Canis lupus familiaris: one gene and its partners. The protein of the gene in region 2 interacts with the protein of the main gene of each other region in a pairwise test. Links are inferred from orthologs where the notes say so. Each region holds a gene or a part of one and is shown on either strand. Other genes may lie near its edges.

Region 1 (7,383 bases), on a different chromosome or scaffold from region 2:
CTGCTCAGGGCGGGGCCTGGGGTCTCCTGGGTCTCTGAAGGCGGCTCCGGGGTGGTGGTAGTTTCCTGGATCGGGGAACTCTGTGGCAGAGAGAGGGAAGTCAGAGGCACCCATAACCACAATAGCCACCGAGGCTCCCGTCACCTCTCTGACCTCACTTCTCCTTCCACTTGCCCTCTTGCTCACTGCCCTCCAGGCACGCTATCCCTCCCCCCACGCCCTGAACACACCAAGCACGTTTCCAGCCCAGGGCCTTTGCATAGGCTATTCCCTCTACCTGGAATCCCCCCACCCCGACATCTGCACGGCTCCTCCCTTACCTCCTTCAGGCCATTCATGCAGATGTCGCCTTCACAGGTGGTCAGCTGACCATCATATTAAGTAACTAACGGACCCCCCACTCCCTGCCATACCCACACATACTCCCTGTCCCCTTTCACTGCTTTTTTTTTCATGCTATATTTTACCATTTACCTACATATTTCCTTTATGGGTATTTGCCCTAAAAGCTACTTAATTCTTTATACCACATGGGCATGTAACTTTGAAAAGAGTCAAAATTCATATTGTAAATGGAAGAGGGTGGGGGGGACTGGGTGGCTCAGTCAGTTAAGTGTCCAACTCTTGGTTTCGGCTCAGGTTGTGATCTCAGGGATGTGAGATCGCCCTGTATCCAGCTCCGCGCCCAGAAGGGAGTCTCCTCTCTCTCCCTCCCCCTTCCTCTGCACCCCCCCCCCAGTAAATAAATAAAATTTTAGAAAAAAATACATGGTGAATGGGAACATATTACGACTGGTTCATCATCATCTACTACAGACACAGTTCTAGAAATGCAATCAGTACAAGTAGGTGGCTGGTGGGAAAGACAGGCCTCTCGTGCCCCAGCCACCCTCCCCAGAACCAGCCACCATCAATGATTTCCTGAGTACCTTTCTAAACATATTCTATACCCACACAAGTAAAAGTGATGGGAGAGGCTCCATTTCACTTGTTTCCGCTATTGACAATATTCTAATCTTGCCTCCCCTACTGGACAACCTGTTATGGAAACCACTCTGTCCCAGCACTGGGAGACCAGCTTCATTTGTCACAGCCCACCTCGTCATTTACTTAGCACTGGCTCTCCTATGGATGGACGTTGCCGTTTCCACTTTTGCCCACACAAAGCCGCTGCAGTGAACTTTCTGGATGCGCACATGTGTGAGCGTCCAGGATTGGAACTCCTGGGTCAAGACGATGTCCATTTTTAGGGCAACCAGCTATGCCCTCCTAAGGAGATGCAACAATCTACATGCCTGTCTCCCTGTGCCCTGCCTGGCATTTGATGGTATTAAACTTTTGGATTTTGTTTTGCCAAACTCACCTGATGACCTATCTCATTATATTATTGTAAATAAAATACAGAAGCATATACTATCATTTTTTTAAAGATTTTTATTTATTTATTCATGAGAGACACAGAGAGAGGCAGAGATATAGACACAGGGAGAAACAGGCTCCCCTCAGGGAGCCCAATGTGGGACTCGATCCCCAGACTTGGGATCATGCCTTGAGCTGAAGGCAGATGCCCAGCTGCTGAGACACCCAGGCTTCCCCCCTGCTTCTTTTTTCCTATTTTTTCAAATGAGGTATAAAATGCATAAAATGTGAGCTGGGCCAAGGGGCCTGCTCTTATAAACATGTCCATCTGGGTATGCATTGCACGCAGCGGGGGTGGGTAAATGAGGTTTGGTACAGTACGTGAGCCGAGAATAGCTTTTACATTTTTAAGGGATTGGGGGGAAAAATCAAAAGGAGAGTAATATTTTGTGATCTGAGAAAGTGATAGGACATTCCAAGTTCAGTGGAGATCCCTGGGTGGCTCAGTGGTTTGGCACCTGCCTTCACTTCAGCCCAGGGCGTGATCCTGGAATCCCGGGATTCAATCCCACATCACGCTCCCTGCATGGAGCCTGCTTCTCCCTCTGCCTCTCCCTCTCTCACTGCATCTCTCATGAATAAATAAATAAAATCTTTAAAAAATAAATAAATAAAGTTCAGTGTCCATCCATAAAGCTTTAACCAGAACACAGCCATGCCCACTGGTGTATGTATGTATCCCCTACAGCTTTTTTCTACAATGATCTCAGGGATGTGAGATCGCCCTGTATCCAGGGCGTTGAGTCACTGTGACCAAAACAGTCTGGCCCACAAAGCCGAAAATATCGGCTCCATGACCCTTTATGGAAAAGGCGTGCTGATCTCTGACCTACATTAAGAGGCACAACATAAGGACACCTAGGTGGCTCAGTGGTTGAGCGTCTGCCTTTGGCTCAGGGCATGATCCTGGTGTCCTGGGATTGAGTCCTGCACCGGGCTCCCCACAGGGAGCCTGCTTCTCCCTCTGCCTATGTCTCTGCCTCTTTGTGTGGGTCTCTCATGAATAAATAAAATATTTAAAAATAAATAAATAAATAAATAAGAGGCACAACATGGCCATGACCCCAACAGGCTCCCTCGTATCTCCCTCCTATCAATGATACCCCCCCACCCCACCCCGAGAAAACCACCATCCTGACTTCTATCCTCGAAGTGAGTTTTACACATGCTTGTTTTACAGGCCAGTGCACAGAGCACAGCAAGTTGAAGCAGCTTGCCGTGGGTCACACTGCAGGAACATGGACCCAGGTGGCCTGGCTCCTGAGATCATGTTTTTATTCAGGATAGAGAATGCGACCACCTGCTTCTAGCAGAGATATGGGACCCAGGGAAATTCCTGGTGGTGTCTGGGTCTTGAGTGGGTAGAGAAGCCTGGAAGATCCAGGTGTGGGGGGAAAGGAGTGGAACACTCACCAGGCTTGATGGGCTGGAAGGAGGACCCAGAGGACTCTTCTGGGGTAAGCTATCCAAGGCAGTCCCAAGGTTCAGCTTCTCCACAGATATATCACTGCAGACCAAGAGAGGAGGGTGTGTGTGGGACCAAGCACCCCGGCATGCAACCAGGGACAGCCTAGACTTCAGAGAGCATCCTCCTTACCCTGTGGAGCGGACCTCGGGGCCTGGAGAAGCCCCAGGGCTGAAGGTGCTTGTGGCCGTGGCATTGGGGATGAGCCTTCGAAGCAGCCGCACCCAGGTGGCAACATCAATGTTCATCTGCCTAGCGCGCTGAAATGCTTTCCCTGGGGGAGGGGTGGAGGGGGGTACAGGGGATGGGGGTCACCCTTCATGATACTCCTGGGACCCCTGGCTTCTTCCCTACCTTGACCACTACCTCACCTTGCTGCTTGGAGAAAATTTTCTTCTGCCTTCGGAGCCGGGGTATCCTCTCAATGACAGGGTTGCGGAAGGTAACCTGGAGAGAAGGGCCAGTGGATAAGAACTCACTCCCAGCTCTAGGTGGTGGGGAAGCCCTGAGAGCGTAGATAGGCACACCCTTATGTTTTGCGGGTTCCAATTATTGTGGCTCCACATCCAAACAGAGTATGAAGATGTTGTAACTTATTAAGGGGTTAGAAAACCAATCCAGTGCCTGGTAGGGCCACCTCCTGAAGTGCCATCTTAGAAAGTCAAGAAGCAGGCAACCAAGACCTCCTCTAGGGGTGGGGTGGGGGGTCCTGACCCAACAAGAGGTACATGCAACTCCAGCAAGGTCCTACATCATTTAGGGTCATGATTCCCCAAGTGGGGCCCTGGACCAGCAGCAGCACCTGGGGCCTTGCCAGAAATGCAGATACCCAGGCCCCTGCCTGGACACACGGAGTCAGAAATACAAGTGTGGGGTTCAGCAACCTGTGTTTCAACAAGCCCTCCAGCTGGTATGGGGAAGCCACTAGTCTAGCTGCATTCTCCCAACTCCGAAGCATCTTCTAGAAGGCGCCAAAGTCACAGAACTGTGTGACTTTATGTGTGTCTGATACGCTCGCCACTAGCCACGTAAGGCTATTTAAATTCAGTAAAATTTTAAGTAACATGAAAACTTTAGTTCCCTGTCCCTGGTCACACTAGCCATGCTCTAAGTGGCTGGCGGCTGCTATGTTGGACGGTGGACATATACAACATTCCCATCTACAACAGAATGCAACTATTGTAGGCTCATCGACAACAGAACTCTAGAAAGTTCTATTGACTGGCACTCTGGGGGAGGCGGAAAAATAGAACAGAATGCTACAAGTGAACGTTGAGGGCCAGCAGGCTTGCCTCAGAATTTGCCCCCTTCCCCTACCACCCCCACCATTCCTGCTTGGTACTGGCCGGTCTTCCTAATGGAAGAGCAATGTCACTGCCCTGCCCGGCCCTTCTGCTCTTTTTCTTCAGTGGGGCTCGATTATGAGATCATGTCAGAACTCCCACATGGAGATGTGGATATGTAACAGGGCACACGTATGTGTTAGGGGCACACTTAAAGAATTTTTGAGGAAAATTTTGACTGAATGAGGGGGCCAATGGCTTTCCTACTCTGTGCCTCTGTTTCCTCCCCCGTCAGAGGTGACTAATGACGATCCCTCCTGAATCGATCCCTCCTGATTCGGGTTGGGTGGAAGTGGGTCATTGTAAGGATTAACAAGTTAATGCCAGCAAAGCAAGTAGGACAGGGCTTGGCTCACACCACAAGGGATCAGCTAGGAATGTTATTTAGAACATGGGCTCTCAACCAGGGGACAGGGCAATGTCTAGAGACCGTTTTGATTGTCACAACTTGGAGGGAGGGTGGTGCTGGCTCCCTCTGGGTGCAAACTGGGGATGCTGCTCAGCACCCTACAGGACAACCAAGAATGATCCAGCCCACTATGGCACACTTGTCTCTAGTGCCAAATGCAGGACACCTCAATTTAGACTTTAATCCTAACACCACTGTAGAAGGAATTTCTCTCTACTCGACTGTGGCTCTGACAGCAATCTCCTTGATGTGCCACCAGGTTTTTCTTTTCTTTTTTGGCTTGGTGAAATTTTGCAATTTCTTTTCTTTTCTTTTCTTTTTTCTTAATTTCTTCCCTTAAAACAAAACCAATCCCAGCTTAAGTTGTGTCACTGAAGTAACTAATTATATGTATTTCTCTATCAAGGTTCAGAGACCAATCCAACACATATATCTTCCCTTTCTAGAAAACCGCGAGTAGGCAGATGCAAGAAGTATTTTCATAGGGTCAGGGGTCGGGCTGTACCTCGGCCACCAGGCAGCCCTGGGGCTCCATGTCCAGCTGCACCTCATGCCTCTCATTGTCCAAGAAATCCTCCAACTTCAGGAATTTGAGGGCACAAAGGCCCCGTTGGTCCCGCCAGAACACGGCCAACTCCAGTTCCCGAGCCTGGAGGGAGAGGAACGGGTGCCATCATTTGGCACTGCCCAAGGAGGATTTGGATCCTCCTCCTGGATCCAGGCCCTGCCATCCCCCAACTTAGCTCACCCTTTCCAGCTCCAGGGTGAAGCTCTGGTCCCAGGCGCTGGGGCCACATGGCTTCCAGGATGTCTGCCCCACCACCGTGTTATCCAGCTTGAGCACCGTGCTAACCTCGCCTGGAATGAGGGGTGGAGGAGGATGTCGGGAAATGTTTGGAGTTGGGGGGAGGCATCTTGGCCCATATCTTAGTAAAGAAATCCTCCCTTCCACCCATCACATTCTGCTACGCTACCCTCACAAAGCTTTCACATCAAGGCGTTTAATCAACTTCCAGTTGATTTCTGTGTATGATGTGAGGTAGAGATCCAAATTCACTTTCGCTTTATATGCAACTTCTAGCAATATACTCCTAAGAACTTACCCTGGAAAAATGCATGCAGGTATAATGGGGAGATGCATATATACATATATATCCATATATGCGTATATAAGGGACCCAAACTAGAAATATCTATAAATAGAATATATAAGCTATAACATAGCCTTATTAACTGATATTCAACAATTACTATATTTTACTTTAAAAGGCCCCCACAATTGATATGGCTCAGTCTAATAGTCTAATGGGCTATTAAACAGGAGTTAAAAAAATATAAAAATAAATAAACAGGAGTTAAAATAAATGAATGGACTATAGCTTCATGCAACGACATGGATAAACTTCCCAAACTATGTTAAATGGAAGAAGCCATTACCATGGAATACATTCTGTATGATTCCACGTATGTAAAGTTCAAACACCAGGCAAAATTAAACTCTGTTGTTTTGAGATGTGTACATTGATGCTAAAACTACGAAGAAAAGCAGGGAAATGATAACAATGCGTCAGGGGAGTAGCTACCTCTGGACAGGGAAAGGGACTAGAAAGGGGAGGAGGGGCAAGGGGGTTTCTAGAGAGTTCTATTTCTTGACCTGGGTGGTGGTAACGTGGGTGTTTGTTCCATTGTTATTCCTCTTTTATACATACTTTTTCCTATACATCAGATTTTTTAAAAAGTGGTAAAATTCATATAACATAAAATTTATCACTGTAATCGTTTTCAAGTTTACAGTTCACACTGTTGTACAACTACACCACCATCCATGTCCAGAACTTTTTTCATCTTCCTCAACTGAAACTGTCCCCATTAAACAAAAGTTCTCTTCTCCCCTCCAACCCAACTACTGGCAACCATCCTTCTTCCATTTCTATGAATTAGACTACTCTAGGTACCTTATAGAAGTGGAATAATACAGTCCTTGTCTTTTTGTGACCGGCTTATTTCCTTTAGGGTGATGTCCTCAGCTTCATCTGTGGGGTAGCCTGTGTCAGAACGCCCTTCCTTTTTAAGGTTGAATACTACCTACTCCACCGCACACACATACCACATTTGGTTTAGCCATTTGTCTGTCAATGGACACTTGTGTTGCTGCTACATTTTGGCCATTGTGAATAATGCTGCTATGGACATGAGTGTCCAACTATCAACTTGAGTCCCTTCTTTAAACTCTTTTGTATATACACTCAGAAGTGGGACTACTGATCACATAGTAATTCCATGTTTAGTTTTTTCACAGTGGCTGAAGGACTTTATGTTCCCAACAGCACTGCAGAGGATTCTAATTTCTCTACTATCTCCCTAACACTTTTTTTTTTTTTCTTAACAGAATCCATCCTAATGACTGTAATGTATCAGTTTTTTAAAGTGTTACAAGTGTGTGACACCCTAAGATCCCCACTGCATCTCACTCCTCCAGGCCTTAGTGCCCACTCACTGGTGTTCTCAGCTTCCACTTTGAGGCTGCTCCGGCCACTGAGGCTTCCACTGCGGCTGTAAAGGCCCCGGGCTGGGCGGCTCAGGAAGGTGGTACGGCTGTCAGGGGTCCCAGGCACCCCTGCCGCGGGTGAGGAGCTCCAGGGGATGGTCTCTGGAAGGTCCTTGCAGCCTACCACACGTACCTCCAGAGTTCCTGAGGGAGGGGCAGGCTCAGGGGGACCCACATCTGGGCCAGGCCAAAAGGTGGG
Region 2 (7,383 bases):
AGAAAAATCTAAATTAAACACATTAAAGGTATCCCCTATGGGATCTCAGCTTTCCAATCTCAGAGAGGGAGAGTTCAACAGCGATCTCAATTGATAGTAAAGAATATACATTAAGTATATGGTCCTTTGCTTAGTAGATTAATTTTAAAACAAAATCTTTATGGAAGCCTCACCCAAAAGACAGTGCTTAGATTTTTGCAGAGCTTTGAAATATAAAGTCTAGAGACTTAATAAATAGACCGACCATCTGGGTTCAAATGTAGAGCCTAACCCTGAAACAGCGCCTTGGGGGAGTGCGGAAAAAAATCCCCGGCTATACACAGGGAAGTGGATCCATGCAGAAGCTCTGTGGATGTGTTATCCTGTATTTGTCTCAGGAGTCCTTTCTATCTTTATATTATATTCCTATCTTTATATTACAGAAGCTAGCAATTTATTTTGTAGTTTTTAACTGGAAAAAATTTTAAATAAACTGCTAGAGTGGTTTATTAGACTGAAATAAATAATTTAATGGCATCTTTCACTTGAGTCACAAACATAATAACTGATAATTAACTGATGAGGAACAGTCAGAATTCACATTTGAACATTTCTTAACATGGACCCACTGGTGGTTCCTAGGTAGCAAAGTATCTGGCTTTGGAGATAAGCAGTTCTTGATTGGACTACAGACTTCAGTTTTCTCATGTGCAAGACTGAATGTGGATTAAAGATTCTGAATGTACAGAACCCAGGATCTGGCCCAGAGAAGGCCCCCAATAAATGATATCTATTATTATTATTATCATTATTATTGTCATCTCTCTACCATTTTTCAATGATCTTACTAAGAATCAGATATCTAATATTTTTATATTAGAGTTAAAAATTGAAACTAGAGAGTAGAAATTGTAACTCAGCAATATTTCTAACATGGTCACACTAAAATCAGACGTACATAATCTCTGCCAGCTCCTATCTGTCGATACCGCCTGATTTGTTCTTCTAGCTTCATAACTGTATTTCTCAAATCATTCTTTTCTTCTGTCAGTTGGCTGATATGTCCTGTCAGCTCAGCATTTTGTCTTAGCAGTCTTTCAGTCAACGAGCCACAAGAAGTACCAGGGGACACTAAACCAGGCTAGAAAGAGAAAATGGTACTAAGGTCGTGTAAGCACAAATGTTTATGAACAATGCACATCAACATGTGAGCAGACGCTGAGAACACCAGATTTCATGATGAAGTGGTGCTTGAACTGAGTCTTAAATAACTAGGAAGCATTTCATAGGTAGGAAAGAAGATAGGGAAGAGCATATTAAGCAGAAGGAATAGCATGTGTAAAGGCACAAGGGTTTTGTTGGAGAGTGTGTTGCTTTTCAGGAGCTACAGGTTGCTTGGTTACGTTAGAGTAAAGGCTGCCTTCACTTTATAGATAATAGACCTAAATGGAGGCAGCAGAGAGCCCTAAAGGCTTTCAGAGTGTGCTACAAACAAAATTTATGTCTTAAAATATTCCTTTGGGGGCACATGAGTGGCCCAGTCAGTTAAGCATCTGCCTTTGGGTTGGGTCATGATTCCAGAGTCCTGGGATCGAGCCTGTGTCAGGCTCCCTGCTCAGTAGAGAGTCTGCTTCTCCCTCTCCCTCTCCCTCTGCCCACCTCCTGCTCATGCTCTCTCAAATAAATAAATAAATAAAATCTTAAAAAAAATTCCTTTGCTAGCAGCATGCGAAGTACAGTAAATTAGGGAAGATAGATCCTGGTGTCAGGTGGACACATCAGGAAGTCATTACAATAGTTTAGGTGAGAAATACTGGAAGCCTGAATAAAGGCAATGACTAAGGGCACGTGGGATATTTAGGAAGTAAAAGCACAGGACTTCATTACTACTAGGATACACAAGTGAGAGTGAAGGAAGGTAGTCTAGGGTGACTTCCAAATTCCCAAAGTGGGCTCTATCAGGACCAGAAACATGGGTTGGGGACAGAAGGAGGAAAAAAAGAAGATGCTCAGTTTAGAATGTGCCTGTGAGGTTCCTAAGGGGTCACTATGAGGCGCATTTCCCCAGAGAAAGAGTTCCTGTAACTAATGGAAAATATAAATCTGGATCACAGGATAGAGGTATAGACTAGAACCACAGACCACTAGAAGATAGAGATCTAAGTGGTCAGATCGTTATCACATTTATTCATTGTAGCCCAAAACCCAGGGTAGTAACTGGCACATAACACATGCCTTATGTAAGTATTTGTTCAATAAATACGTCTACTGAGAACTCAGGCTGTGGGAATAAATGAGCTTTCACAGAGGAAAAAAAATGGATCAGGATAGGAGGAAGAGGAATTCATGAAGGTGACTGATGAAAGAAATGGAAGAAATATACTGAGAATATACGGTCACAAAATATACTGAGAATATACTGTCACAAAAGGTAAAAAAAGGAGGTTTTTAAGATGAGAGAGGTCAAAAGTATCAAATGCTACAAAAAAATTAAAAAGACAGGGAATGAAAAGATTCATCAGATTAGTTAACTATGAAGACAATGGTGGCATTCTGTGGGTGGTTTTGAGAGTGGTGAGATAAGCCAGACTTGATTATCATAATCTTGAAACTTAATTATCATAATACAATAAAATGCCACTATAGTTATTCAACAATGATAATGAAAATTAATTTCCCCTCAAATTTTCATTATTGTCTGTTAGGGAAGAACAAATATTAATATTTAAATTAAAAGACAAAATTAAAACTCTTTAGAAAATACAGTGCCAGTTTCAAATGATTCACATAGCTCCATTAAATCTTTGTTATTGATATCTTATAAAGAGTTTTTAAAAGTTTTACCTCTTCCCCTGGCTGGCCGGTTAATTTTTGCAGTTGTAAAATAATTTCATCAATATTTTCCTGAACCCAAATGAAGTCTTCATCATCTGCTGTTTCAAACTGTAGTCTTCAAGGAAAAAGACAAAAAGTCAAAACAGATCTTTCTCAATTAGTGGTGTTGACTAGCACAAACTTGACAGATCAGGTGACACTCTACTTGTTTTCTCCCTCACACTGAGTATTCTCTTTCCAGGACTTAAGGTGCTGAGATATTTGTTTATAGGTAGAGTTTTGTTAAAGAATACCATCTCCTAATGTGAACATGCAGTAACTTTACAATTTCAATGAACATTGCCCCGCTGGCTAGCTATTACTGAGGGGCAGGTTTTACCCAGCTTGTGTAGAAGAATGCCATCTCTAAGGGTCAAGAGAAAAAAAAAAATCTAACCTATTGGAGGCTTTCTGGGCCAGATGCTGTAGTTTTGAAGCCACACATTGAAGCTTTTGTCTGATCACTTCTAATTCATGATTACAGCCAGTTCCTCCTTCATTCATTTCAATCAGTTTAAGATAGCTTGATTCCTTTGTCTCTCCTTCTATTTTCTGTTGAAGAACCCAATTTCTAGTTCGATCACTAGTTAAACTCCATGTAGTTGGCTAGCAATTTTCAACAGAAAAAGAGAAAGCAGTAAGTATCAATGAACAGCGAATCAACACAATTATGGTTTATACTCCAAATAAGCTTCTATGAATCTCCTTTTTAAATCATTTGTTCATAATTATTTAAGTAATTCAATCCAATAGCAGAAGTGTATGTTCAAAGGGCTGTAGTGCTATCTCAAAAAACATTTTAATACAGTGTTAATTTACCTCATTAAGATTCTGATAGAGAATTCTTCTACTTTCTCGTTTTTCTTCTCGTTCTAGTTCTTGCTTCTGGAATTCCTGCATAATTCCCTGTAGTCGCTTTCCTTCAAGGTCTAACTTATAAACTTGTTGCCTTTTCTCTTCCAGCTGGCGCTGAAGATCTTCTACTTTGGACTGGAGCTCATGCATTTTTTTCTGTCCTTCAGTGTTGGCCTCTTGTTCTGTCTGCAATGTCTTCCTGTGAACCTGCCTATCCTTTTCCATCTGCTGTCTTGTTTGCAAAGAATCCAGTTTATATTTCTCAGTCTCATTTAACAATTCTACTATGCGACTGTGCTTCTCCTCTAGCTGTTTCTGTAGCTCTTTAAGGAGGTCCTCAGAGGGTAGGGAAGGCCGAGGCTGCCCACTATCATCACTGCTCTGCAGCTGAGCATGCAATTCCCGCTCCCTATCCAGGGTACTACTCATTTCCTGTATTCGAACTTTCTCAGATTCAAGAAGTACTTGAAGCTCTAAGTTTCGACCTCGTTCTTCTGATAACTGGGCATCATGTAGCACTCTTTGTGATTCTATTTTCTCCTGTGATTCATTTAGTAGTTGTTTCTGTTGCTCCAACAGTAGATTTAGCTGGATATTCCTTTGTTTCTGACCCTCAAGTGAAAATTTCAAATCCTTATAGGAGAAAGTTGAATTTAAGAATTTGTTAATATCATTAAAAGTCCTTTGTCAGTATAATTATACTTTATTAATATTAAGATGGTAGTATTTGGTAATAGAACTGATTATCCAGTTTATTAACTTAAATTTTCAGTGGTTAGAGCATAATTATTTGGACAGCCAGATGATTTTCATCAAAGAATATAAACAAAAGACAGGTAAGCTAAATAATACTTTCTCTCCAAATATTAATCATATTTAGTCAAGGAATATGAAGCAGTGTATATTCTTTCTAAAAACAATACCCTTTAAAAATACAAATATTTCCAATATATTGTGATATGAATTCCTGAAAAGCCTCATGTTGTCCAATGTCACACACTGAAAATAATATGGCTTATGGGGAAAGCAGGTTTAGGGACAAACTACTCAAAACTTACACAAATTTGTAATGATAAAAAACAGTAATCAGTACCCAAGGGGATATCACGTTCTTTAGGTAAAGAGCTTACTATGCTAGGAGGCTACCAAGATGGACATTCAAAAAACCCCAGCAAAACAAAAGTAATAGGGCAGAAATGTCAGCTACGTAGTTTTTTAGCATACAGCTAGTGAGTACCATGTATGGACGGAAGTGGGCACTGTATGTGCAGTACAACCTGCCCTGAGCTGTGAGCTGTGCAAAGCTAGGGTGGGCCTCTTTCGAAGACAGTTCAGAGTGACAGGACTCATTTTAAATTTTTAAAAATATGGTAGTAAGGGCTCCTGCTGCCAGAGAGGTGTCACTATTCCCTATCCCTAGGGGAAAACAGGAACTAAAACTACTCTGCATTAAACTGAAATGGATGCCCCCCCCCACCATCAAATTGTATATGCACAGAACTCAAATTCCCAAAACACACATTGTAGCAGAATAGTCTGTACATACTCCTAGATGTAGCACAGCAAAAATGCACCCCACTCTTAGCACTTCCTGTAGACAACAGAACAGTCTTTCAGAGTGGTGAACAACTTACTGACCTCATAAGGAATCTAACATGTCTAAAATCTGATGTTTTAGAAAGAGGAAAGGTCTCCAGACTCTCTCTTCCTCTGTTGTTCCGGATTTTCCACAGGCATTTAAAGAAAAAGGTAACAATACCTCAAGTTCTTCTTTATCCCGCTCTTCATTGCGTCCCAGTTTGGCTTTTTCTTTCTCCAAAGCCCACTGGAGCTCTCTGGATTTTTTCTGTTCACTTGCTAATGTGTCATTAAGCAAATGTACTTCATCAGTTTTATCTTTAACTTCCAACCTAAATCAGAGACAATGGACTTTAATAAAATTACTTTGACCAAGTTTATATTGAGAGAAAGAGACAGCTTCCACTAAACAGTGGAAGCATATTATAAACTAGCTAACAGGAAAATATAAGCCATGTACAGATTAAAGATTTTTGACTATGGTTTACTTCAAATTAACTGTTTCTAGTAATGCAACTATTAACTATTATTTATCACTGTAAATAATTTATTTTTACAAATAACATTAATAAATTTTCCTTTGTCTTTTACTGAAAATGTCTTTTACTGTATCACCATCATTCAAAATAAAGAATGACTGTCCTTGTAATGTGTTCTTGGCAAGCACAGTATCTCATTATTTACACCAACAATTTACAAGCATTTTAAAACATTTTGTACGTAGTAGGTAAATGAACCACAAATTCTATCGAGATCATAAATATCAAATTGCTTGATGGTAAAACAGAAGTCAAAATTATGTATCTTATACAATAGTAAGTCTTCAACAGAACTGAACTCACAGCAGGGAATATGCCAATGCCTAGTCATGAATTTATTATTTGGAAAAATTTAGAATTTTTCCTCACCACTGTGGTTTTTCCTATAAATAACAAAGTTTCAGGTTATTTACACATTATGTATAATGTTATGCTTTTATAAGACCTGCACAACGTCTATGACAAAATTAATCCAACTCCTTCACTGATCCAGGCTTATAATAAGGAAGCTTGACACACCTGAACGCCTCTAATTCCTTCAGGTGCTTATGTTGTGCCTTGAGTGTTGTTTCTAGTTCCAGTTTAGTTTGTGCAAGTTCACTCTTCAGTTCAGCAACCACCATTTTCTCAGAACTCAGCTGTTCCTGCAGTTCTGCTGCTCTGTCCTTAACGCTACTGAGCTCCACCTGCATCTCCAGCATCTGAGACTGCTTCTGCTGCATCGTATACTCCAAGAGTTCTAAATGGAAAAGTATGAATACTTGAATTATGACCTGGCAACTCATATTTGGTTTATAAATATTTTATTGAGAACTGATTTTTAATTTAGGAGATTACTGCAAAGCAAATGTGAAAAGATTACAGTCCCAAAGTTGGCAATATTAATACGTATCATGAATACTTTTCTCATAGTACTAATGGTCAAGATTTCAGAACTATAAATACATAAGGATGATAACAGTTTAACAGAATATATCAATACAAGATGTGAAATAAAAGAATATTCAGGTGTTTATAAGTTGTATACATAAAAGTGTGTATTTACTCATGTAGAATTTAATAGTTTATACTAAAAAATGCCAATGTTGATAGCCACACAAAGCACTTGCAAGAGTTTAGCATGTAACCACCACTAGAGTGATCAGCACGGCTTGCTGGTTTTGTTTAGTTCCCTACACACACAGTCCCTAGGAACTTTACTGTCATAGAAGTTTAGATTAGTTTATTCTTTAAGCGCCAACCAAAGCCCTGCTACAGGTCTGTTACAATGAAAACAAATGAAAATATTTAAACTTCTAAGTACAATAAATGAAAAAAAACGTTACGAAATATGCATTAGGATCTCATTTTTGCAAAAAACATAAATTGTATATTACAGTATTAACAAAGGTCTGCAGATAGATGTATTTACCTGGGTGAGGGTGATTTTTCCTCTATTTTTTTGTTTTTCCATTCTACCTTAATGTATTTCCAACCGAAAAATTTTTTATCAAAGTTCATTGCTTTATATTACAATTCATATTACTGATGTTAAGAGGCAGGAATAACATTGGTTTTA
Region 3 (6,848 bases), on a different chromosome or scaffold from region 2:
CCTTGGGGAGCTTGCTGGACCCATGGCAGCTGTTGCTCCTGCCATGTAGACAGGAGTGGGGGGGGGGAGCAGAGCCCCTGCTGCTGGGGCCTGGGCTTGGTGCTAGCGCCTGGCAACCCGCACCCGCCTTCCGTGGCCCAGGAAAGCCGCACGGTGTGGCCCAGCTGCGGCCAGCTGCAGAGTCACCCCCTTTCCCGTCAGTGTGTTTTTCAAATACAAGCCGTCTGGTCACACCGAAGTCACAGGCAGGCCGTGGAGGCAGTCCCGGTGCATGTGGGCCCCAAGCAGCGCCCGGGCCGGAAGCGCAGTAAAAATCAAATTACTGGCTGGTTCATCTGCAACTGAGACTTGATCGCACGCGCGTCTTGTCTGTGGGCTGCTCGGCCGAGTGCCCCACCCCCCCCACGTCCAGGAGTGGACTCCAGCACGGAAACTGCAGGATGGGGGCGGCCTCGGCCTCGGGTCCGGCTGCAGGGCCCCAGCCAGCGTGGCTCCACCGCGGGTGGACAGACCCCCACACTCAGACTCACCGTCTGGGGGCCTCCTCCTGCCCGGCAGGGAGCAAACCGCACCTCTGACCTGAGCTGTGTTGGAATGTTCCAGAAAGCAGAGAAGAGCCCGGAGGCCCGGGGCTGCTCGTGTCGCAGTGAGGGCTCTGCGTCCTCGGGGAGTGCGGAGCTGAGGCCCAGCCTGGCCCTGGGAGCCTCAGCAGTCACCCCTACCCGGCCCACAGAGAGTGACCCCGGCTCGGGGAGAGGGGGGCCCGACGGCCCCATGCAAGTGCCCGCGTCTGTCTGAGAAAGCGCTGGAGGCCCTTGGTTCCAAACAGAGACAAACCACCCTGGAGAGGCGGCTCTGTCGCCGGTTCCCGCAGGGTCCTTCCGGCCGAATCTATCTACACACACTTTACACGAATGTAGCTTTCCGGGCATGTGGCTCTGTCACTGCCGTTGCCGGCGAAGCGCATCCTGGAGACGATTCCAGAGCCGTGCATGCTGCATCACGGGGTTCACCCGCTGTGTGCGGTTGGGGACACGTCCCCCAGGATGCCCGCGGGAGCCCCCGGGCATCCCCCTGCGCGGTCCTCGGACCATCCCACCTCCCAGGAGACCCGGGGGGGCCTCCCTGCCCGTCCGCCAAGGCACCCGTCCCCGGGGGGGGCCCGTCCTGGCCTCTCTCTGTGAGCTCTTGGCTCTTTGTCATGGTCCGCGCGTCATCTTGGGCGTTTGGGGGCCCACGTCCAGCATCCGCGAGTCCTACCTGCAGCCTGGGGTAGGAGGGGGCTCAGCGGGAGCAATCGCACGGGCCCCGGGCCCGCGTGGGCCTTAGGGGTCCGACTGCAAGTCACGCCCGTGGAGCCCATGGAGCCCGTGGAGCGCTTACCTGCAAGGTCCGAGCTCCTGAGCCGCCTCCTCCGTCTCTGGCTCGTGCTCCCGCCGCCCAAGCTCCGGGGCTGGAAGGAGAGAAGCCGCACGGGCCTGGCACGGCCTGAGCCCTCCAGAAGCCCCAGCCTTTGCGATCTTTTTTTTTTTTTTTTTTTTTTTTAAATTAGAGAAGGATCCGCAGGGTGAGAGAGGGCTGTCACTGTGCTGGGTCCCCGGGCGGCTTGGACACCGGACTCTTGCTTTTAAAGACGACGTCCAGAAGTTTCCCTCGCTTTGACTGCAGCTCCCTTCAGCGTGCGGGAGGACGGATGTCACCCCGTACAGGAGAGGGTCTTCTGACGTTTGTAGAATACAGTGCCTGCAAAGTAACGAGCTCCCCATCATTGCAGGGATTCAAGCGGACCCTGAGTGGCCTCTTCTTTGCCCTCTCCCCTCCTTTTTTCTCGTGCTCCTTCATTTAACGCATGTTTATGGAGCAGCTTATTTGGCCCAGCCCCGTCCCAGGGCCGAGAAGACGACGCTCGATGAGACCGCCGGGGCCCCGGCTCTTGGTGGAGGTCGGATCCGGGGGGCGGGGGGCGGGGGCTGAGCTCTATGGAGCCTGGATCCCGCTGTACGACGCTGCCGCTGGCCCCAGGCGGCCACCTCAACCCACACCGGTTACCGTGAGCGTGCACCTTCAGCTCCTCGCCCTTTGCGGCAGCCGCAGCTCAAGTGGCCGCAAGTCTCCGCTGGTGGGTGGTGGCCCAAGTACCGGGGGGCTGGGTCGAAGCCGGGGCTGTAGAAATCTCAACAGACCTTTTTTTTTTTTTTTTTTTTTTTAGGTAAAAATGAATGAGGGCTCTCAGGGGCAGCTATTGGCAGGGGATGGGGTGGGGAGGGCAGCGCAGAGAACGGAAATAAAGTCCATTTGCTGTTCATCAGGCTGCTGTCGGCCAACTCGGTGTCCGTGCCGCGGAGGGAGCGTTCGCCCTCCTGCCAACGGGGAAACTGAGGCCCGGGTGACCTGGGCACCTTGGCAGCCAGGCGCAGGGGGGAGGCTCGGGCTTCGCCACAGTCCTCGCAGGGCCTCCCGCACGCCCGCCGCTCCGGGGTTAAGGCTGGGGGGTCCGAGCGAGGCCCCGGAGGTTCGGAAGCAGCGGGCTCTGGTGGACGCGGCCCCTCTCGTCTGTGACCTGCAGGTGACGCCGTACAGCCCACAGCAGGTGGGACAGCAGGTGTTCCGCTCTTCCTACGCCCCCCTGCTGAGCTACATCCCCTTCGTCCAGCCCGGCTACCCGCACCCTCAGAGGACACCTCCAAAGCTGTGCAGCCATCCCCGCGACCCTTCCCCGATGGCGGGAGACGGGCCACAGTACGTGGTCCCCCAGGCGTACGGGTGAGTCCTCAGCCCCCTCCTCGGGTGCACCTCGCTCGCGGGAAGCTACAGGGCCGGGAGGGGAGCTGGTTCTCGCGTTGCAGGGTCCTGGGGAGGGAGGGGCCCTGGCCTGTCCCCAGCCATGGGTGCCGGAGGGAGCTGGTGCGCAGGCCAGGCTGCTCAGGGCCACGGGCCCAGGGGATCCTAGCCACGCGGCCGTGGACGTGGGCACTCGGCCTGCAGCGGGGCCGGCAGTGGAGCAGGACCCATCTGCTGAGGCCCCGAGGCCCGTTTGCTGGGCTCCCTGCGTCGCGGGGGACCCTGAGCTCCCTCGCAGGCCAGTCGCCCCCACATCCTGCGGAGGGTGTAGCAGGCCCAGCAGCGGGGGCAGGGCTTCGCGGGTGATGCAAACCTCGACACACACTTTCCACGACGGCTGTTGTCCTAAATGAAAGGCCGGCGGTCGCCCACTCGCACCTGCAAACCTTCAGCTCATATTTGAGGCCGGGAGGAGGGCGGGACCTGGGGTCCCCCTGGGGACCCCAGTCCCCACACACCCTGGGGAGGCGTGTCTAATCTTGGGAAACTCCGCTGCCGGGATTAGGGCCGTTGGTCCCCAGCCTTCCACGTCCCCGCACAGACCCCCGCTGTGGTGCCCCCCAGGCACCCCCAGACCCTCACCCTCTCAGTCCTGCGTCTTGTAAAAGGACGATACGTTAGCGAGAGGTTTCTGTGGTCAGGATGCTTGGGAAGAGCTGAGGGAAACACAGGTGAATGGGTTTCTTACCCATCGGGGCCCTCAGATGGCTTCATTGCTGAAGTGTCTGGGAAATGTTCCTGGGGTGGGGTCGGTGGCCTCACCTGAGCCCCAAATCCACAGCCCATTTTCTTTCTCCTTTTCTCTTTTTCCTCCCTCCTTCCTCCCTCCCCATCTTTTCTGCTTCTCCTACCGCAGACGAGGGTGCATGTCATCTGCACCCCCTGCCCCCCAAGCTCTGTGTCGGGTCCTGTGGTTGATGGGGATGTAGCCTGCAGGGAACCCACAGCGGACTAGGACGAGGTTCCTCCCTTCAGAGACTGAGTGGCTGAGATGTGGGGAGCACCCCGGGGCCCGGGGCGGTGGCATGACCCGCTGTTTGGGGGGGGGGGTGGACCTGCGAGGCCCCAGGGAGCAGCCGTGGGAGGAGGGGAGGGGGGTGCAGCCCTCACAGGGGGGTGCAGCCCTCACACGGATGGACACAAGCATGAGGCTGGGGCAGCAGAGGTGTGTGCTTGAAGTATTTGATTTACCCCTAAAAAGGTGGAAAATAGGATTAGAAAGGGAGGTTGGGTTTGGGTGTTAAACGCTCTGACTGGGAGGCCCGGGGCCTGCAGCCTGGTGCACCCTGGGTGGCGCAGCGGTTTAGCGCCTGCCTTTGGCCCAGGGCGCGATCCTGGAAACCTGGGATCGAATCTCACGTCGGGCTCCCGGTGCATGGAGCCTGCTTCTCCCTCTGCCTATGTCTCTGCCTCTCTCTCTCTCTCTCCCCCATCCTCTCTCTCTGTGTGACTATCATAAATAAATAAAAATTTAATAAATAAAAATTTAAAAAAAAAAAAAAAAAAGCACCACCGCGGGGAAGGAGGGGAGGAGGGCCCCCACCCGGGCCCTGGCTGCGGGCAGAGATGCTGGGCGCTGGAGGATGGTGCCATGGGGGAGGCATAGTCGGCAGGGTGGGCGGTGGCCGAAGGGGCTGGGGACGCCAGGGAAGGGGCGCGGCGCAGGCCGCATGCTCCCCCAAGAGCATGACTGGTCGTGGGCAGCGCTTCCTGGAGGGAAGGAAGGAGCGAGGCAAAAGGCCTTCTTGGTCTCCTTCACGGGGAGCAATAAGGCAGCAGGAAAGGAAGGCAGGGGCCGGGGGAGGACGGAGAATGAGGGAGGGCCACCTCCGGAGCTGGGTCTGAATGAAGCGACAGGTACATAGGGGAGCTGTGCGTCGGGGTAGTGGCCCCGAGGTGGGAGGTGGGCCTGCAGCCGGAGCCCTGGGGGGGGGAGGAGGGGGAGTGGCCGCGGGAGCAGGGGCAGCAGGGCCTGGGGGGCACGGCCAGGCGTCGGGTCAGGCCCTGGGGAGCTGGTGAAACTTCCCCGGGTGGGGGTGAGGTGGCCTGCACCGAGTCTGCACCAGGAGCGGGGCTCAGGCAGGGGTGCAGGCCTACCCCGCTGGGCTGCTGTAGGGGGGCGGGGCATGGGGGGCAGAGGAGGAGGCATTTCCTGGAGGATGTGGGGGGAGCAGGGCTGGGGGAACCACTCGAGGCCATTGGGGGGACGGGGGATGAGGGCGTCGGGGATGGCGTGGCTGGGGGACGGGCAGGGGCAGGGGAGAGGCCGGTGGGAGGAGCAGGGCTCCGGGGATGAGGCGGCCCCCCTACCCCTCCTGGCCTCTCTCTGTGAGCTCTTGGCTCTTTGTCATGGTCCAACACCCCCTACCCCCGCTTCCATACCCCCTTTGCCCCCCTATTCCCTCCTCCCCCACTCCCTCCAGCTCCTCCTCTCCCACCCCTCCCCCTCCTCCTCTGCTCCCCCCCCCCCCCCCCCCCCCCCCCCGCTCCTCCTGTCCTCTTCCCTCCCTTGCCTCTCCCCCGCCCCCTCACCCCCTCCCTTCCCACTCACCTTCCCCCCTCCCTGCCCCATCCATTACCATGCCCTTACCTCCCACACATAACAAGCTCGAGGGTGAAAGGAGCACAGGTCCTAGTGGCACAGGCAGTGCCAGCGGGGAGGCTGCTGCCGGCAACCATGCCCCAGGCCAGGGCGCTGGTGCTCTTCCTCCAGGAAGCCTTCCCTGATGCCCCTCGCCCCCAGGACCCCCGGCTCCCTCTGACACTCTGGCGAGTGTCGTGTGCAGACCAGGCCCCGGGCAGGTGAGCCCCCCAGAGCATCCCCCACCCCCCCGCCGGGTGGCCTGGCTGCGCGGGGACGTGGCATCAGCGGTCAGGCGTGTCCCCAGTGATTCATTACCGATGGTTATTAGGCTGAGGTGCGGGTTCCAGTTTTTGTTTCATAAACCAGCACAGAATCCGGGGCGTCCTGGCCCGACCTGAGTCTCCATCAGTTCCTTTGAGTGTGAGTTTGGGGCAGAGGGAGGAAGGGCTGGGGGTGAGGAGGGGGGCGCCAGCAGAGGCCCCTCCTCGTGCCAGGTCCTGGGCTGCACACCAGGCGGATATCGTCCCCGCTCTCTTGGGATTTACTTAGTGAAAAGCGAATCAAACTAACCCGAAGCCCAGCTTGCCCCAGCCCCTCAGGGCGCCGGTTTGTTCCCATCGCTTCTTCCCTCCCTCACCCTCTCTCCCCCCCCCCCCCCTTTTTTTTCTTTTTTCTTTCATTAATTCGCGATTGTCTCCTGCTCTGAGCACCAGCCGCAGGAAGGCCCGAGAACCCCGGGGTCAGACTCCGTGTGGCCGGGTGCCCTGCTGCGGTGTGTACGGAGCCCGGCTCCCCTGTGGACGGGACAGGACGAAATTGCTGTAGGGCCGTGCGAGTAGCTGGTCCCATGGGGCAAGGTCAGGCCGAGTCACGGGGGAGCTGCCGTTGGGGCCCCCATGAGGCGTGAGCAGCCCTGGAGCCCAGGCAGAGTGGGGGTGGGCAGGTGTCATCTTTCCCCGCGGGAAGGTGCGCCTCTCAAATGCCTTCCCTGGGGGGCCTGGCAGGGGTCAGGGTGCTTGGGCTCAGGTGCTAAAATAGGGAAACGGGTTCAGCTTAGCACCCATAAGGGGACAGGCAGCCCCGGGACCGTGCAGACTCTGGGGCTCACCCTGGGACCCGACCCTGAGTCCCGTGATGCTGGGGACCCCCTGGGGGACACACGTGTCTTCCCGGGCAGGTCGAAGGGCTGGCGAGGTGCTCAGGTGCAGACAGGCCCCCTGTTGTGCGGTCCTGGAGATGGGGACAGCGCTGGGCCCAAGGAGGCAGTCCCTGCAGCCCGCTAGGCCCTCTCGGATCTAAGGAAGTGGCCTTGGAAGCTCTTAACTGTCCTCCAGTTGTATCCTTACAGTATTTTATTTTCCCAGAGCCAAAGCTTTTTTTTTTTTTTTTTTTTTTTTTTTTTTAATGATGCTGAGCATTTAGC

The links.
Region 1: the proteins of AKAP9 (region 2) and PKN1 interact in a two-hybrid assay, tested with the Homo sapiens proteins (2 studies listed by BioGRID). The link is inferred for Canis lupus familiaris from reciprocal best matches to the Homo sapiens genes AKAP9 and PKN1.
Region 3: the proteins of AKAP9 (region 2) and C15H1orf94 interact in binary tests that used the Homo sapiens proteins (3 or more experiments, as listed by UniProt). The two-hybrid records come from large-scale screens. The link is inferred for Canis lupus familiaris from reciprocal best matches to the Homo sapiens genes AKAP9 and C1orf94.

The regions. Positions count from the first base shown.
Region 1 is NC_049241.1:48,563,526-48,570,908, forward strand, and holds part of PKN1 (serine/threonine-protein kinase N1), read right to left. Parts: intron 7,329-7,383; coding exon 7,134-7,328; intron 5,495-7,133; coding exon 5,385-5,494; intron 5,286-5,384; coding exon 5,142-5,285; intron 3,332-5,141; coding exon 3,256-3,331; intron 3,159-3,255; coding exon 3,017-3,158; intron 2,927-3,016; coding exon 2,833-2,926; intron 81-2,832; coding exon 1-80. UniProt on the Homo sapiens protein: PKC-related serine/threonine-protein kinase involved in various processes such as regulation of the intermediate filaments of the actin cytoskeleton, cell migration, tumor cell invasion and transcription regulation.
Region 2 is NC_049235.1:17,677,995-17,685,377, reverse strand, and holds part of AKAP9 (A-kinase anchor protein 9), read right to left. Parts: intron 6,565-7,383; coding exon 6,345-6,564; intron 5,619-6,344; coding exon 5,468-5,618; intron 4,342-5,467; coding exon 3,673-4,341; intron 3,460-3,672; coding exon 3,251-3,459; intron 2,930-3,250; coding exon 2,824-2,929; intron 1,121-2,823; coding exon 938-1,120; intron 1-937. UniProt on the Homo sapiens protein: Scaffolding protein that assembles several protein kinases and phosphatases on the centrosome and Golgi apparatus. Required to maintain the integrity of the Golgi apparatus. Required for microtubule nucleation at the cis-side of the Golgi apparatus.
Region 3 is NC_049236.1:7,726,697-7,733,544, reverse strand, and holds part of C15H1orf94 (uncharacterized protein C1orf94 homolog), read left to right. Parts: intron 1-2,566; coding exon 2,567-2,763; intron 2,764-6,848.